Linked DNA regions of Drosophila melanogaster. The protein of the gene in region 1 interacts with the protein of each later gene in a pairwise test. Each region holds a gene or a part of one and is shown in the gene's direction. Other genes may lie near its edges.

The links.
Region 2: the proteins of PNUTS (region 1) and Pp1-87B interact in a two-hybrid assay, tested with the Drosophila melanogaster proteins (2 studies listed by BioGRID).
Region 3: the proteins of PNUTS (region 1) and Pp1-13C interact in a two-hybrid assay, tested with the Drosophila melanogaster proteins (3 studies listed by BioGRID).

What each region holds. Positions count from the first base shown.
Region 1 is NT_033779.5:868,709-876,478, forward strand, and holds the start of PNUTS (phosphatase 1 nuclear targeting subunit), read left to right. Parts: upstream 1-1,756; 5' UTR 1,757-1,844; exon of another isoform or gene 1,845-2,632; 5' UTR 2,633-2,865; coding exon 2,866-2,868; intron 2,869-2,932; coding exon 2,933-3,030; intron 3,031-3,097; coding exon 3,098-3,372; intron 3,373-3,499; coding exon 3,500-4,831; coding exon of another isoform or gene 4,832-5,010; exon of another isoform or gene 5,011-5,441; intron 5,442-6,329; coding exon 6,330-7,770. Other genes in the region: dbe (dribble), read right to left, coding at 31-1,068.
Region 2 is NT_033777.3:12,423,086-12,427,915, reverse strand, and holds Pp1-87B (protein phosphatase 1 at 87B), read left to right. Parts: upstream 1-1,998; 5' UTR 1,999-2,227; coding exon 2,228-3,136; 3' UTR 3,137-3,305; intron 3,306-3,399; 3' UTR 3,400-4,295; downstream 4,296-4,830. Other genes in the region: CG5641 (uncharacterized protein), read left to right, coding at 1-28; NANS (N-acetylneuraminic acid synthase), read right to left, coding at 80-862, 969-1,304; CG17202 (uncharacterized protein), read right to left, coding at 4,450-4,830. UniProt on the Drosophila melanogaster protein: Is essential for the regulation of mitotic chromosomal segregation as well as regulation of chromatin condensation during interphase.
Region 3 is NC_004354.4:15,358,566-15,362,657, reverse strand, and holds Pp1-13C (protein phosphatase 1 at 13C), read left to right. Parts: upstream 1-1,596; 5' UTR 1,597-1,867; intron 1,868-1,936; 5' UTR 1,937-2,320; coding exon 2,321-3,229; 3' UTR 3,230-3,557; downstream 3,558-4,092.

The sequences.
Region 1 (7,770 bases):
TCCTACTACTAATTAAAACTAGGAAAACTATCAGCTGCTCCTCGCCTTCTTGTTGGCCTTGATCAGCTTGGCCTTCAGGGCCTTCACGTCCACCTTGCTGGAGGAGGAGCCATCCTCCTTCTTCCGACTTGAAGCAGCTGACTCCTCCGTGGGCGGGACAAAGTCCTTGTTTCGGCGTTCGTCCTGGCGCTTGGCCGCCTCCTTCTGCTTTTCGGTGCGCTCCTGGTTGCGCTTCGCTTGCTTCTGCTCCTGGTTGAGGAAGTACTCTCCGCTGGCCAGCTGCTTGTCCACCTTGCTCTCCGGCTGGCTGGGCGGGAATGGGGTGTACTCCTTCTTTTGCTTCTTGACCTTCGGCTGCTTGCGTTTGCTAATGTTTTTGTTCTTGAACTTGGGCAGGAATCGGGACCAGTCCTCGTTGGCCAGACGCGGATCCTTCATCAGCTCCCGCTTGATCATCAGAGCCTTAATGTTGTATATGGGGTGCACATTGTTCATGGTCTCCAGGACTATATCCCGCACCTGCTGAAGGCCCTTGTAAGGACCCAAGGCGGAGACTGTGTTTCCTTGAACCAAAACGTAGCAATCGGTGAGCAGTTCAATGGACTTAAGGGTGGCGCCGTTAGGTCCGATCAAACGCTGTCGCCGCTTCACGAACTTCTCCTTCTTGTGCACAAGGTTTCCGATTTTGATGATGTCACACCCAATGTCGTCCTGCAGGACCCGCTTGGCCTGCTCGAAGGGAACACTTCTGGCCATCAGCTTGATCATATCCCGCGCCTTGATGATGATGTAGGGATCCCAGGTCTTGCGACTGGTCTTCACCACCATGCTCCCCTCCATCAAATCTAGCTCCGCCTTCAGGTGGTGCTCCGCCAAGCACTGCTCCACCAGAGGCCAAACCTCCTTAAGATAGCGCTCCCGATATTTGGGAAACAGCGTGGCGAAGGAGCTCTCCTCCACCATCCCATGCGGGTTGTCCTCCTGCCTGAAGGCAGGGATCTTCATGGACCACGCATTGTCCACCGGCTCGGTGCTGATTTTGGTCTCCTCCGCTTCACTTTCGCTCATCGTTACTCGAGTTTTCAGAAGCTAATTCTACAGGTAAGATTCTTGCACGCTTGTTTTGGCCAGGCTGCCAGATCAGCGGTAAATGCGTGTGACCATATCAGGGAAAACTGGTTGGTTAATATTATTGATAGATTACCTATTTAAAGGTTTATTTTTATCTTGATTATAAAATAAATTTTTCGATTGAGAATGTTTTAAAATATATATTCAAATACAATTATATTTGATCGTGTGCCAGATAAATGCCTTAACAAAATTGCGATTCCAATGTAACTCAAATATTAAGGATATTGGGTACATCAATACTAATAAAATATGCAATTCTGAATATCTAAAATATAAGAAATAAGTCAAACAATACATGATTTAGCCCTGACACCTTCACAAATTTTATTTAATTGAAAAAGAGCTCAGGGTATCTATAACTTATGCCATTATATGTGTTAGAATAATTAAGATGAATTAAAATCTTAATTCAATAAATTTCTTTTTATAGCATTCGCTATTATCCACCGTGGATAGTTTTTGAAACTGTTAACGGGAAACTAAATCCATTTATATTAAAAGTGTTTTTAAGTAAATAATTATTGTTTGTACTTTCAAAATAGGGGTATTAATTAGATTACCATATTCCGACTATGCGTTTTGGTATTTTCTAAACAAACTTTTATTTTCAAGCAAGGAAAGGTCACACGATTTTGTGAGCCTAAGCAAAGCGCACGCAGGAGTTTTCGGAGAGATAGAAAAATCGTCGCCAATTAAATATTTAACAAATTGTAAGGCCGATAAACAATTGTACATTTAATATATATTTTCTGGAAGGCTTATTACCGATTTGCTCGACCTAAGTGTGCGGACCTAACCGCATGTCCAATTTTGGGGCGTGGACGTGAACGAAAGCCGATAATTAGGATTAAACAAAGAAAAATCAATATAAAGTGGCCGATATTGTTGAAGTTGCTATTAAAAGACAATTTTCTAGCATTTCCCTTGGCTGCGGATTTAATTACGCCTTTGTGAAAAATTGTGAAAATCAAAATGGCGTCATTGTTGTGTGCGTGGCAAGGCGCTGCCAACCTGCTTTAACAGAAAAACTAAGTAACTTTCACATTTTGCTTGTACCTAAAGTCAAATTTGGGTTGTAACCAAAAACGAGGTAGAGAGACATTTGTGCTACAAACGTTCAGACGAACGCATGTTTTCGTATCAATACCAATACGTCGTAATATATAATTTTCGGTTTTCTGAGAGTGGACAGCCTTCAGGGCTGCACTGGCTTATCGATTACCGATAGCCGCGAGCACACGTCCGAATTTCATCAGTGCCTGAAAAAATCGCAACGCGTAAAACACGTTTTCTGCAGCTCCAAAACAAAAAACAAAACATTCAAGCGGAGGGATTATTGGTTTACTGCCAGTTGAGACAATAAAATAACAGCATTTATCATATTTTGGCGCTGCTGCTGGAATTTATTTAATACTCGTCTTAAAAGTGAATTGTAGGGATATAGCAAAATTTTATCCTGCTAAATTTGTTCTCAGACTGGTGTTTTCTCCTATTTTAGATACTATTGCAGTCCTTGAAAAAGCGAATTCTTATGGAATTACGTAATCAGTGGAAATTTAGTATCTATTAAGACACCCATACCAACAAAAGCGAGTGTCGGTGCACACACGCACGATCCAACACACGCGCACACGTTGCGTATGGTCACACCTACAAGTGTGGAAGAGAGACGGCTATAGGGAGTTAGCGTTGCCAGATAAATTTTCTTCTTTCGCACGACTAACAAAGAAAATGGTGAGTTATATTGGCTAGGAAATGCAACAACAGTTGTGCTTTATTTAATGTTTTTATTCGACAGCCTCGTATAGTTCCACTGCAATTGCTGAGGTGCCTGCGGGTGCTTTTGGACAATAATGGTGGAATTTTAAGTGCAGTGGAGGTGAAACGCATTTCGGGGTAAGTTCACCACTTGTCAGCAGCGACACCTATCGGCGTTTGCTAATATCAAGTTTTTCGCCCACAGTTTGATGGCCAAGTATTCAAAAAAACTCGTCTCGAAATGTGTGTATGTACAAATTCTGAAATCCACAAAGACGGAACTATTGGGCGACTTTATGGCGGTGGGCGGTTGGTCGCTGGTCTACACCTGGTTAAATGATGCCATCAGGGCCATGAACTGGCCGCTGGTACAGGAGATCCTGGAACTGCTGCTCCTTTCTCCCGTGGATGTCAATCGCCTCAAGATAAACTCAGCACCTATTCTGGTCAAGGGGCTGTGCAAGGATGGCGGCAACGAAGGTAAGTTTTCTTTGATAAGTCTTACTCTAGTCGTAGATTAGTGTTTTTGGGTCATGTTTTGGGCTGTCCTTTATGCTTTTAATTACCTAGGGATTACTAATTGGCTTTTCTCGACCCCGTTTTCCAGGTGTACGCATTCTAGCCAAGCGTTTGGTAGAGCAGTGGCTGAAGATTGTGACGGAAAACACAAGCATGACGATCCAAGGTGCTGCGCCACATATTGCAGCCACTACTGCCTCTCAGGTTCCTGCATCCGTTTCTGGAGCTGGCTCCGCTTCAGTTCCGGACTCTGCCTCTTCTTCAGACAGCACTGATAGCGCCGGAGCACCTGTGACGTATACCATCACCTCGGCGGCCAACAGTAGCAATTCCAACAGCATTACCATCAAGTGGAAGCCTTTGTTGGACAACCCAGATGGTGGCGACGAAACGGATTCTGGCACACAATCGAAAGACAACGAGGTGGAACATCTGGAAAAGGGCTCCTCCGCAACCCACTTATTAGCAGATGCTAGTCTGGGGAAAAAGTCCGGGTTAGATGATAGTAGCTCCGCGGCGGAGGTTAAGTCTGGGGAGGACGTGGATAATAAGAAGCATAAGAGCTCAAAGAGCGACAAAAGTAAACGGTCCGAGAAGGAGCGCGAGAAGGATAGAAAGAAGGAAAGTTCAAGTCATAGGTCCTCCTCATCTAGCCATAAGTCGTCCTCTTCCTCGTCATCCTCCTCTTCGAAGAGCAGTTCTTCCAAGAGCTCCTCATCTTCTTCCTCTTCCCATCGCAGTTCTAGCGATAAATACCGCGATAAAGACAAGGCTCGCTCAAGTTCCGGCTCCTCCAGCTCGAGCAAGGACCGGGAGCGCAGCAGCGGTTCGTCTTCTTCTTCCTCGAATAAACACAAGTCCTCAAAGTCCTCCTCGTCGTCGTCGTCGTCGTCGTCGAGCAGCTCTGGTTCTAGTTCGTCCAAAGATCGCAAGTCGTCGTCGTCAACTTCGTCATCATCCTCATCCTCGAGGCAGGACAAGGACAAGGACAACAAGCTAATGCCTCCGCCAGCTGTGGCAGCATCAAATGCTGCAGGTACATCTCCTACAGCTTCGGCAAAGGAGAGCGACGCACAGAAGCCCAGATCGATTCCTATCATGTCCCGCAAGGCCTCCATTTCGATAGAAATTCGCCGGGACACCGAAAAGACGGCCACTGTAAAGACGTACCAGTCCAAATTCAGATCGCATGGCCTGACGGAAGAGGCTCCGCCTCCCCCATCTCGCAAGGGCCTAAAGAAGCCCACATCGTCGGCGGTTGCCGCTTCACCCGCTTTAATGGCAGTCCCGTCTTCACTGAAGCGACCATCGCCGCCACCCAGGGATTTGTCCACCGACAAGAAGGCCAAGATCGACATCAACAACGTCGCGGGACATGTGGAGAGGCCCGGAGCCGCCAAGCTGATAGCGCCCAAAAAGAGTAAGCAACAGATGCTAGAATCACTATTAATGCTCTTCTCTATTTTATTCCACAGCCCAAGAACTTTGGTGGCTTTTGCTTTTGTTTTCGATCGGAGTCGAATGTCGAACTCCGCCGTATTATTTGTTGATCTCCATTCCATTCTCAAGGTGTTTAATTTTGCTTGGGGCGGGTCTTAAATTGTAGAGCAGAAGTGGGGCCTTTTAGTGTGGGTACTTTGCATTATAATGTATCAATCGTGGCGGTGTTATCCCCGGATCGAGTTTGAACTGCAAGCTGCCCGAGTGTGAGTCTATGACCTCAATTCCGGATGACGGCGGATGAAGTTGAATGGAGTTGAATCCCGAAATCTGGGCACTGCGCATGCGCTGAGACCGAACGAAAACGAAATCTGAGGCACAGACGATGCCGCCGCCGCCGTCGTCGTCGTCGTTGTCGCTGCCTGATGTTAAGTATTCAAACCTCAAATCTTGAACGTATTTAGCTTAGCTTAGCTATAAGGTATGTAGATTCACTTGGCGAGCAGCCCACCTTAAAGACTTACAAATAAAATACGGTTTCCTCTAGAAAAATACGATTTTTCTATTGAATAAAAAAATGCATTGAGCGCAAAAGAAACGAAAACGAAAATATTGACTTAAGCTGGCGGTTCTATAAGTTGGTAGGTGGTTCGATCACCACCGTGGGCTTGAGTCCCAGCTGCTTTGCTTTGGCCTCGATTTTGCTGTCGTGCGTCACCGAGGGTCTCCACAATTGTTCGCCTCGCTAGAGCAGGCAACCCTAGTTTACCCACATCCTCGTCGTAGTGCGTCATCAGCGGATGCGTCACCTTGGCAGTAAGCTGCACGGTGCGCGTAATCTGATCGCAGTGTCGGGTTCCTTGGGTAGATTAGTGCTGAGGAAACCCAATGACACTTATCGATGTGCTGACATAAATATACTAAAAGCATCAAAGTTTAAAGAGGTTTAACTATTGCGTATAACTAGTAGTCTTAGCAATACACTTTTAATAAGCGTACTTCTCAAGTTTCAATCGCAATGAGAGCTTATAACTATTTTAATTATGATGATTAAACACTATTTGTGTTGAAAAACTAGTTAAATAAAAAAAAGTCGAATAATTACATTTTGACATTTATATATGAAATTATACCGAATAAAGTCGAGCAAGCCAAAACTTTTAAAGAACTTTTGGGGAAAATTCATGAATTGTTTAGTAGTTCTAGGTTTTGGTATATATTCGGTGCTTATTCCAGTAGAGAGACTCCCATTTCATTAATTATCGAAATGTGGGTAAACTTAATCAATCAATCATAAACACAACAAATGTGTGTGTCCAGATCAGATTGTTTCTTTCCATAACTTTTTTACTTCTAGCAATTTCCAGCAAAAGCAAAATCCACCAAAGCCAATGGGCCATTCAACGAAGGCCACTTAAACATTTTCTTAACTAAACCAATTACTGGAGCGATTACTTACTTTACCCTCATTTTTCCAGTTCAAACCCTGGTGGAGACCAACCTGTTCTCGGACGCCCTGGCCGCCTCCATCGAACCCAAAAAGGTGGTGAAGCGCAAGCGTACGTCTGCAACATCGCCCACGGACAAGGACGCGCCACTGGCGCCGCTTAAGTTCTACCAGGATACTCTGGACGAGTCGAAGAGCGAGGAGAAGTCGGACGACAGCAGCAAGGAAAACGATGATGCGCGCTCCTCGTCACCTGGCAAGGACACGGATGCCGATGACGACGACATTCCCCTTAAGAGGGTCAAGGAGGACATCGAGCAAAAGGTGCAGAAGGCGAAGGCTGCGGCAGGCGGAGAAGGCGGAGAAGCGGGTAACACCTCTGACAACGCTGAAGATCTTCCCGAGGAGCCCAAGAAGCCTGGACCTGGCTGTGGACCCGATGGACCACCGGGAGTGCTCACGCTGCACCGCCGCAAGGGCCCGAAAAAGAAGCTAACCTGGCAGTCAGAGGAAAAGCTCACCCAGATACGATACTTCGAGGTCGATCGCTCAGAGCGCGTAAATGTGATGAAGCAGACCTTCCTGGAAATGAAGAACATGGAGCGATTCAGCGAGCGGGACGCGCTGACCATTGCTCGGCGTGGATTCGACGATACCATGGAGCCGCAAATGGAGTGGCGGCCACTACTCGAAGTCGATAATGTGCCCGACCACCCGAACGGAAACCTCTCCAAGCAGCGCCAGGTGCAGATGGACAGGGAGGCCACCACTCTAAGAGCCCTGTACTTCTCGCCCGACATGATTCCCGACAGTCCTGCGGAGGCGGAACTGGAACCGCATTTTGCTCATGACATTCCCGTGATACCCATGGATGACCTGACGGGGAATCCGGATGCTGTCAACGACTACAGTGCCTTGGCGTGGCCGGAGCCCAAGAAATACGCGCCTAGCTCGGGAGTCGGAGCAAATATCAGCGGATCGGACATGGGCTTCAATGACAATATGTTGACCGGACTGGGAGCTGGACCGAACCTAATGCAAAATCCATTCGATCCGTTCATGGGAGGCATGCCTGCTCCCACGGGAATGCCACCCGGACCAAACATGATGCCAAATCAAGTGCCCAACGGAACGCCGCAAATCTGGCAGAACCAAATGGGTCCGGTAGGTGGGCCGCCCGGTGTACCGCCCATGATGAACGGACCCGGTGGCCCCGGAATGGATATGAGCAATATGAACATGAACAACATGCCACCGCAAAACTTTATGGGCAATCAGTTTGGAAGTCCAGTGTCTCCATTCGGAAGCGGCCCACCACCTGGATTCAATCAGTACCCGCCCATGATGATGAATGGACCAGGTCCGGGACCGGTAATGGGACCCAATGGTCCAGTGATGGGACCCAACGGCCCCATGATGAACGGCCCACCCAATGGACCCATGATGAACGGGCCGCCCAATGGAATGGGGCC
Region 2 (4,830 bases), on another chromosome or scaffold:
AGAGGGCAGCGACGATGGCGCCGAGTAATACAGACCAAGCTATTCATTTACAAGTGTATTTAAATTCCCAACCCATGATTCAATTGATTATACTATTCCCAAGTATGGGTTCATCCTCACCAATATTGTCTGCCAATTCCTTGCCTACCAAGTCCAAGAAATCCTCCGCTGTCAGGCCGCTGGGTTCACTGACTTTAATGGCCATATCTGCCAATTGCAACCTGTAACCCTTATTGAGATTCCTAGCTGCCACAATAGATTTGCCCAGTTTATTTCGGCAGGGCAGCTCGCACGGCAAAATGGTTTTAGACTCAACGTGCTGAAGAGCTGCCTCTAGTTCCTCATCTCCATTTAACTTTTTAACTATTTCTTGTGGAGGCATGGGAACTGAAGAGAGTTTGAAGTTGGTGATGGCTGTAGTCAGAGCTTTTAATTCTTGCGGCTCTAGGGAGCAGCGATGATCGGAGCCCTTCTGACTCTTGTCCAGCGTAAAGTGGCGCTCCACTATGCGTGCTCCCAGCAAGACGGCGGCCTGGCTAATGATCACTCCCAGCTCATGACCCGAGTACCCAATTGCCACATTGGGAAAGCGTGTCCTTAAGACGGATATCAACTGCAAGCTGCAATCTTTTGGGTCAGTTGGGTACGATGAAACGCAGTGCATTAGAGCGTAGTCCTCTTTTCCTGACTCCCGCATAGTTTGCACAATCCTCTCCACAGTTTGCATAGTCTGCATTCCGGTGGAGATCACCAGGGGCAAGTTCAAATTGGCGGCCTTTTTGAGAAGCGGAAAGTTGTTTGCGTCTCCGGAACCAATTTTGATGAAGGGAACATTTAGAGCAGAAAGGAACTCCAACGATCTCTGTTTAAAATAGCATATACACACATTAATAACTATTTAAGCAAGAAACAAGGGAAAAAAGGAATTGTTAGTAGTAGTAATTGGTTAACAATTAATTAATATCAACCTCATCCATGGCGGAAGCCGTAAAGTCCACATTTAACTCCTTGCAGTGGGCCTGCAGCTGGAGATACTGATCTTTGGAGAACTCCAGGTACTCCTTGTGCTCCCCGTACGTTTTTCCCCAGGCGTGATCACTGATATATTCGCGATCTAGAGCGGATCTCGTAAACTTTGCTGGCAAATCCGATTTTTGAAACTTGACGCAGTGGCAACCGGCTTTTTTGGCCTCCCATATCATTTTCTTCGCTGTTTCCACACAACCTTGGTGATTTTGGCCAATTTCCGCTATAATATAGACGGAATCAACTAATTTTCCGCTTATGATATCGTTTAACAGCATTTTGATTAAATTGAAACCCGCCTATTTAACAGTTAATTAAATGATTAGCGGGCGTAGGCAGGAAATGCATAGAGTATCGAATTATCGATAACAAGACATGAGCACATTTCATACAAAATTTTTACATAGTGTGATTGTTAATATATCTATCAATATATTATTTAGTTTTGTGAGAATTTAAGGGAAATTTGGCATTTTAAATCATAACTCATGTGGAAGTTATTCCAATAAGGAAAATGAATTAACCTATGTTCTGTAAACGAATATTCTTATTGGCTTATTTGAATTTCCAATGTATTTAAATATCCCCTTGTTACCGGTATATCGAATAGCCTCGCCAAATGCATCAGTCTCCCATCTCTTTTCCACAGTAAGTCATGCCAGGCGTGCCTGAGTGCAAGCGGGATGGCTAGTGTCCCCCTGATCAGGCTGCCACACCGCTGAAATAGAGTAACTGGACGCCATGCGTTTAATCGATTACTAACAGCAGTTTCGAGCCACTATAGGGTCGAGAAGACCCGTTTCGAATGAAAATATAAAAGTAGAGCTATTGCGGAACTCTTGCAATGGATTGGAAATGTCCTTAATGTAATAAGAGTAATATTACAGCAACTTCGTTATCGATTATGCACTATATTTGCATGTTATCGATTAGATAAGATGGCGTCTATTATCTGGCCATATCCGCGACTTCCGGCAGTGTGGCAACATCAGCTAGAAGCACACTCGCCATCCCGCCCGCACTCACGCAACAGCATACGAAGAAATTTTCATACTTGTTAGCTGTGAAAAGTATTTAGCAGAAATAGATTTCGGAAATTAAAGATTTCGAGGCTATTTCGGCGCTACCAACGATCGTTCGCGGTAACCTCGACACCCAACAGCAGCACTAGTGCACCAGATCCACACTTTCGCACGCAAACATGGGCGACGTGATGAATATCGACAGCATAATATCGCGACTTCTCGAGGTGCGTGGGGCACGGCCAGGTAAAAACGTACAGCTCTCGGAGGGCGAGATCCGGGGACTTTGCTTGAAGTCGCGCGAGATCTTCCTGTCGCAGCCCATTCTGCTCGAGCTAGAGGCACCGTTGAAGATCTGCGGCGACATCCATGGACAGTACTACGATCTGTTGCGTCTGTTCGAGTACGGCGGCTTTCCGCCGGAATCGAATTACCTGTTCCTCGGCGACTACGTCGATCGCGGCAAGCAATCGCTGGAGACGATCTGCCTGCTGCTCGCCTACAAGATCAAATACTCGGAGAATTTCTTCCTGCTGCGCGGCAACCACGAATGCGCCAGCATTAATCGCATATACGGATTCTACGACGAATGCAAGCGTCGCTACAGCATCAAGTTGTGGAAGACATTCACGGACTGCTTCAACTGCCTGCCAGTGGCGGCCATTGTCGACGAGAAGATCTTCTGCTGCCACGGTGGTCTCAGTCCCGATTTGACCTCCATGGAGCAGATCCGTCGCATTATGCGGCCAACCGATGTGCCCGACCAGGGACTGCTGTGCGATCTCCTGTGGTCCGATCCCGATAAGGATACCATGGGCTGGGGCGAAAACGACCGCGGCGTTAGCTTCACCTTCGGTGCCGAGGTGGTGGCCAAGTTTTTGCAGAAGCACGAGTTCGATCTCATCTGCCGAGCCCATCAAGTCGTCGAGGATGGGTACGAGTTCTTTGCCAAACGCATGCTGGTCACCCTGTTCTCGGCGCCCAACTACTGCGGCGAGTTCGACAATGCCGGCGCCATGATGTCCGTGGACGATACGCTGATGTGCTCGTTCCAAATCCTCAAGCCAGCCGACAAGCGTAAAAAGTAATATCACACAACTGCAGCACCACGAGCAGTCTTTTTCTATCTAAAACAGATCAATAAGAAATCCAAACAAGATACAAAAGATAAACACGACAAAAACAACCACAAACCCAACCACACAATCAACCAGAAATAAAATCCTTTGAAACAACACATCAAATGATGCATGAAACGTAAGTATGGGCTGCTGACGCAGAGTAACAAACTAGTGAATCACACTCTCACCCCAACCTTATCTCTGTTTTTGGTCACTTTTATCATCGGCAGCCGGGGCGAGTCGAAATCCACAAGAAATTGCACCATTAATTTGGTATGGAATAGCAGCGCCACGATCAAAGGACATCCCCAGAGACATCCCTTCCAGCAGATGACTGCAGTTTTCCCCTTCCACCCCACACCCATTGAGATTTAAATCGCAATTACAAACACATTGACAAATACCATGATTAAAAGCCACATATTTATTTGTAATAGCCCCCGTATATATATATATATATGTATATCTACCGACCGACCAACCATTCACCCACGCACACACATGTACACACATTTGAACACCAGCGCTTTTATAGGTTTTGTCCAAAATTTAAACACTAGGTTAATCAACTGACCGTTCGAGCAGAGCACCAAGCGCATAACCATGCAGATTAGATGGAAACGGAGCAGCAGAGGAGCGACTGGACGCCAGTCGGTCACAAAGCATACAGATGTGGGGGCCCTGTAGTGCTCGTTGGCCTTAAGAGTATAGAGCAAGTGAAAACAAAACAAGAAACAAAAAATCGAAGAGGGGAAATCGTTGAACCGAGGAGGTGGAGGCGAATGCTTGCCAAGAAGTATAAAGAGGAATTATAAGCACTAAGTTTCGACCTTGAATCAGTTTTTTTTTTGTTCGTCCACAATGCAGTCCGACCGAATGGACCAGCCAGCCAGCCAGCCAGAGAAATATCTGCAAGAAAATCAGCGAAATATATTAGTTTGTCCCTAAAACTCCTTACCATTCATCAGCTATTCAAACGTCCGCTTCCCGTCATTTTAAGGATGTGTTTTTTAAAAATTAACTATTATTAATATGTATTATCAATAATCCTTTGTATTAATAAACAAATGATATAAAACGTGTATGAATTATGAAACTGATTTCAATAAACACATTTGAAAAATCCATAATACGCTGCATGCGCTCATGCTTTATTTCGCTTTATTTACATGTAAATTCCGGAAAATACTTAACATTTCTTCTAAATGAATGCGTTCTAAATGGGATGTTTTTGTTTTTACGTTTGGTGTGTGCTGGCACGTGCTGCTGTCATCTGAGATCTACTCACTGGAGCCACTGGCTTCAGCTTGGACGGTTGGGCTTGGCTGTGCGGCTTCATCGGTGGTCACCACCGAGTTCCCCTCAATCTGGCAGGCCTCCACAGCGGCAGTTATCTCCGCAACGTCCGCCGAACTTTCGTTAGGTTTCTCCAGCTCAGTCTCGCCGTTCTCCTGCTGCTGCTGCTGCTGCTGCTGCTCCGCCGCCTCAGTGGACTCGGCCACGGTCTGTGGCGCCTCCGTTGCGACCACTACTTCACTTGAAGCCACTGGCTGATGACCCTGGAGCACGTCGGGATTGATGCCGTTGATGATGGCGCGCAGACGCTGGATCTCCTCGTTGGCCAGCTGCAGATCCTGCTGCAGGCGCTCGTACTTGTCGTG
Region 3 (4,092 bases), on another chromosome or scaffold:
ATCGCAACCCCCTGCCAAAAAAAAAAAAAATAAATAAATAAAACAACGACAAGTAGGAAAAAAGTTGGCCGCTGGCTGCGCGTCTGGCGGATATAAAAATAAAATAAAATCTATTAGGTGGCGAACCACCCCACATTTATGCGGCAATTTGTTGCTCCTTGATTGTGTCTGTGTGCGACGGGGTGTCCTTTCCGTATGTGCGTGTGTGTGTATGTGTAAAAATAAGTAAAGTAAAGTGTATCATTTTCCCATTTGGCGACCCCTTTTCGCATTTCGCCCCTGTACACAGGCACTTCTCGCACTTTGTCTCAATTCCCAAAACTGTCGCCCCGGCCGTTGCAATTTATGAAGATTTGTGTGTGGCCAGGATGCCAGCGCAGGGTGGGATGCCCAGGATGCAGGACTCTGAATATCACTGGCTCAGAAGCTCAGGGCTCAGCACTCAAGAGTCTTGGCCCACTCCCACTCCCACACGGTTTCGTTTCGACTGCACTTGTTTTGATTTGTTTGGAATAATAACAGATGCTTGCCGTTCATATTATTCATTGTGGAAATTATTAGCGCTTGACAATAAAAATGGCTATTTGAACAGCACTCGAAAGTGAGTGCGCCCCCTTACTCCCCCTCTCACCGACAATCCCCCGCCGCACAACACAAATTGCAATTTGTGCAAATATTTATGTACATTGAAAATTACTCATTTGTGTAACACCAATTAATTTCAACAAACAGCGGCGGGCGCACAACAATGGCCAAGCCATTTATAAAACTTGGCCGCTTGTTGTTGGTCCCTGTTGTCCTTGTTGTCCTTGCTGCCTTGCTGGTCAAACAAATGGGGGAAAATGAGGTCCTTTGTTTCCCCAAAATAAACGATGCCGCTGCTGTTTGAATGTTTGAATGTTTGCTTTGCGGTGCGCCAGCACACGATACACACTGTACAGTGGAGCCCTTCGCCAACAGCCGACAAAGCAGTTCAATCAGCTCGAACAGCTCGCTATTTATGTAATATACTTATGTGTACATATATATATGGTATATATATGGTATGTATGTGAAAAATGCGGGGTTATTGCCTCATTATTGGGACACTGGAAAATACCCTGTTTACACTGCCATTTTTCAAGTTGCGCCAACAAATTGCAGCTAATTAGTGGCCACACTAGCCGGGAAATCCGACGAAATAAGCTCATATACAATATACCAAAACCGGGGTGCACAGCAAATGGCACTCGGCAACTTCAAGTTTTCCACTCAATCAGAGATAATATGAACAAATGGGCGAGGGTCAGACGAGGGTCGGCACACTTTTCCAGGGGTGACCAACTTAAATAATACCTTTCTAGTACTGCAAACGCGGGATGTAAGACAGCTTATAAGGATGGTTAAGGTATCGTTTATTTTAGTTTAAAACCTAGAACATGCGAAGAAAATACAAATAAATGCGTTTATATAATATATATATTTTCTATTGTAAAAGTTTCTGAGAAATCACTATACCATCACATTTCCATGAAACACGAACTGGAACAATGCGATGTAGTCACTGACTTGTCTGTCGTCGATTTGTCATTCGTTTAGTCTTTGAAAAGTATAAAGGTCACCGTTCCGGAATCAAAATTTTTTTTAAAATTTTTAAGATACCGCAAAAGCGCGAATGTAGAGTATTAAAGTGCGTTTTAGTGAACAGCACATGTGTATCCGATCAGATCCTCAATTTTCATTAACTTCCGGAGAAGCGAAATCGAAAAAAAAAAAACACGATCTAAAGACGACTGCTAGTACAGCACGCAGAGGTCAAATGTCTAGATTCTAGAATTTAGATTACAACAGCTGGACTTTGCACACCACTAGAAGGAACTTAGAGAAGGTAGGGTAATCGATTTCAATCGATATAGCTAATCAAGCTGTCAAACCTTTTTCTTTTCACTTTTTCTAGAAGCGAGAATTTGTCCTACATTTTTATTAGGCATTTTGTGAAAGAATCAAAAGAAAAAAAAAGCTGAACGCTAAACAATTCACCGCCACATATCGAGAAGAAGCAATTCCATTCGGTTATGTTCTGGTATTGAGCACCTGGTATTGAGTAAATCGAAAAATTCACAAATCATCACAAAAAGTGCACGTCATCAGGACATACATTTTGCTGCACCCAAGAAGCTAAGTTTGTGACCCAAATAGACCAGCTCCGCCGAGGATCCAGTCCCATTCTCCAGACAGCCGCGATCTCAGGGTGAGTCCCTGACAAGCAGCCCCAACGGCGTCCCAGACGATTGTCCTATCCAGCCCGGACAACGCAGCCGCGGCCCCCAAGACCGAGGCCATGGCGGAGGTTCTCAATTTGGAGAGCATAATTTCCCGTCTGTTGGAGGTGCGTGGCGCACGGCCTGGCAAGAATGTCCAGCTGTCGGAGGGTGAGATACGGGGCCTGTGCCTCAAGTCGCGCGAAATACTGCTGGCACAGCCCATACTCTTAGAGCTGGAGGCGCCGCTCAAGATCTGCGGCGATATCCATGGCCAGTACTATGATCTGTTGCGTCTGTTCGAGTACGGCGGCTATCCGCCGGAGGCTAACTATCTTTTCTTGGGCGATTACGTGGACAGGGGCAAGCAGTCGCTGGAGACCATCTGCCTGCTGTTGGCGTACAAGATCAAGTATTCGGAGAACTTCTTTTTGTTGCGCGGCAATCACGAGTGCGCCAGCATTAATAGAATCTATGGATTCTACGACGAGTGCAAGCGCAGATATACCATCAAGTTGTGGAAGACATTCACGGACTGCTTCAACTGTCTGCCAGTTGTGGCCATTGTGGATGAGAAGATCTTTTGCTGCCACGGCGGACTGAGTCCGGATCTTACCTCGATGGAGCAGATCCGTCGTATTATGCGTCCCACCGATGTTCCCGATCAGGGACTACTCTGTGACCTGCTGTGGTCCGATCCGGACAAGGACACCATTGGGTGGGGCGAGAACGACCGTGGCGTTAGTTTCACCTTTGGCGCCGAAGTTGTGGTCAAGTTCCTCCAAAAGCACGATCTGGATCTGATCTGTCGTGCCCATCAAGTCGTCGAGGATGGTTACGAGTTCTTTGCCAAGCGCCAATTGGTCACTTTGTTTTCCGCCCCCAACTATTGCGGTGAATTCGACAATGCTGGTGCCATGATGTCCGTGGACAATACACTCATGTGCTCCTTCCAAATCCTGAAGCCTGTCGAGAAGCGCAAGAAGTAGAGGACAGCGAGATCTGTAGACGCTTCTAGATTTATTCTTATATATTGTAACACGCGGCACGCGACTCATTCACAATATCCTACACGAAATCGGTTCGAAATCATAATATCCACATACATCTCTAGTCAACCGGATCGAGGGAAATGGCTCAACTACAACGTATACCTCCATGGATCCTAACTGTCTTCAGAGGTATCCACTAGCCAATTCTTGCATATTGTATGATATGTGTAAGTTCACTGAGATTTGAACGCAGAGCTTATGCTTAGCTAATGCAAAATAACGCCATATGCGACTTTTACAAAAATAAACTTACATTTAAAATTTCAAGTGTTTTCATCTAATTGTTGTTTTTTTTCGATTTCCTAATTAATCTTGTCAGCTAGTTTATCCAACTCTTAATTTAAGCACCTTTCCCAAATGTGGAAGCCCTGAAAAGTGTGCTACGAATTCCGGCGGAGTGAAAAGTGGGTGATCCCCCTGAAAAAGAGATTCACCTCCATCTGTTCGTGTTCGGTGACAGAAGTCACCGCCATATTATATTAACAATGCTTAAAAATTAACAAAGCACACGCACACACATGCACACATGCACACGTAAAATGAGTGGGCGATATGGGGGCGTAAGAGAGAGGGAGCGAGCTGGCAGACAGACGACAAACAAAAAAACAGAGACAAAGATACAACAAATTGCGCCAAAAACGCTTTATTATGTCAAAACAAGATGAAAAAAAAAACAATAGAGAAAAGGAACCCAGTGTGGCAACAACAAATTACATTATATATATAATGAGGTCATTAGCGCGTAAACAATCAGAAAAGAAAGTGGGCAATGAAATACAAAGGGTGGGAGCGAGATGGCG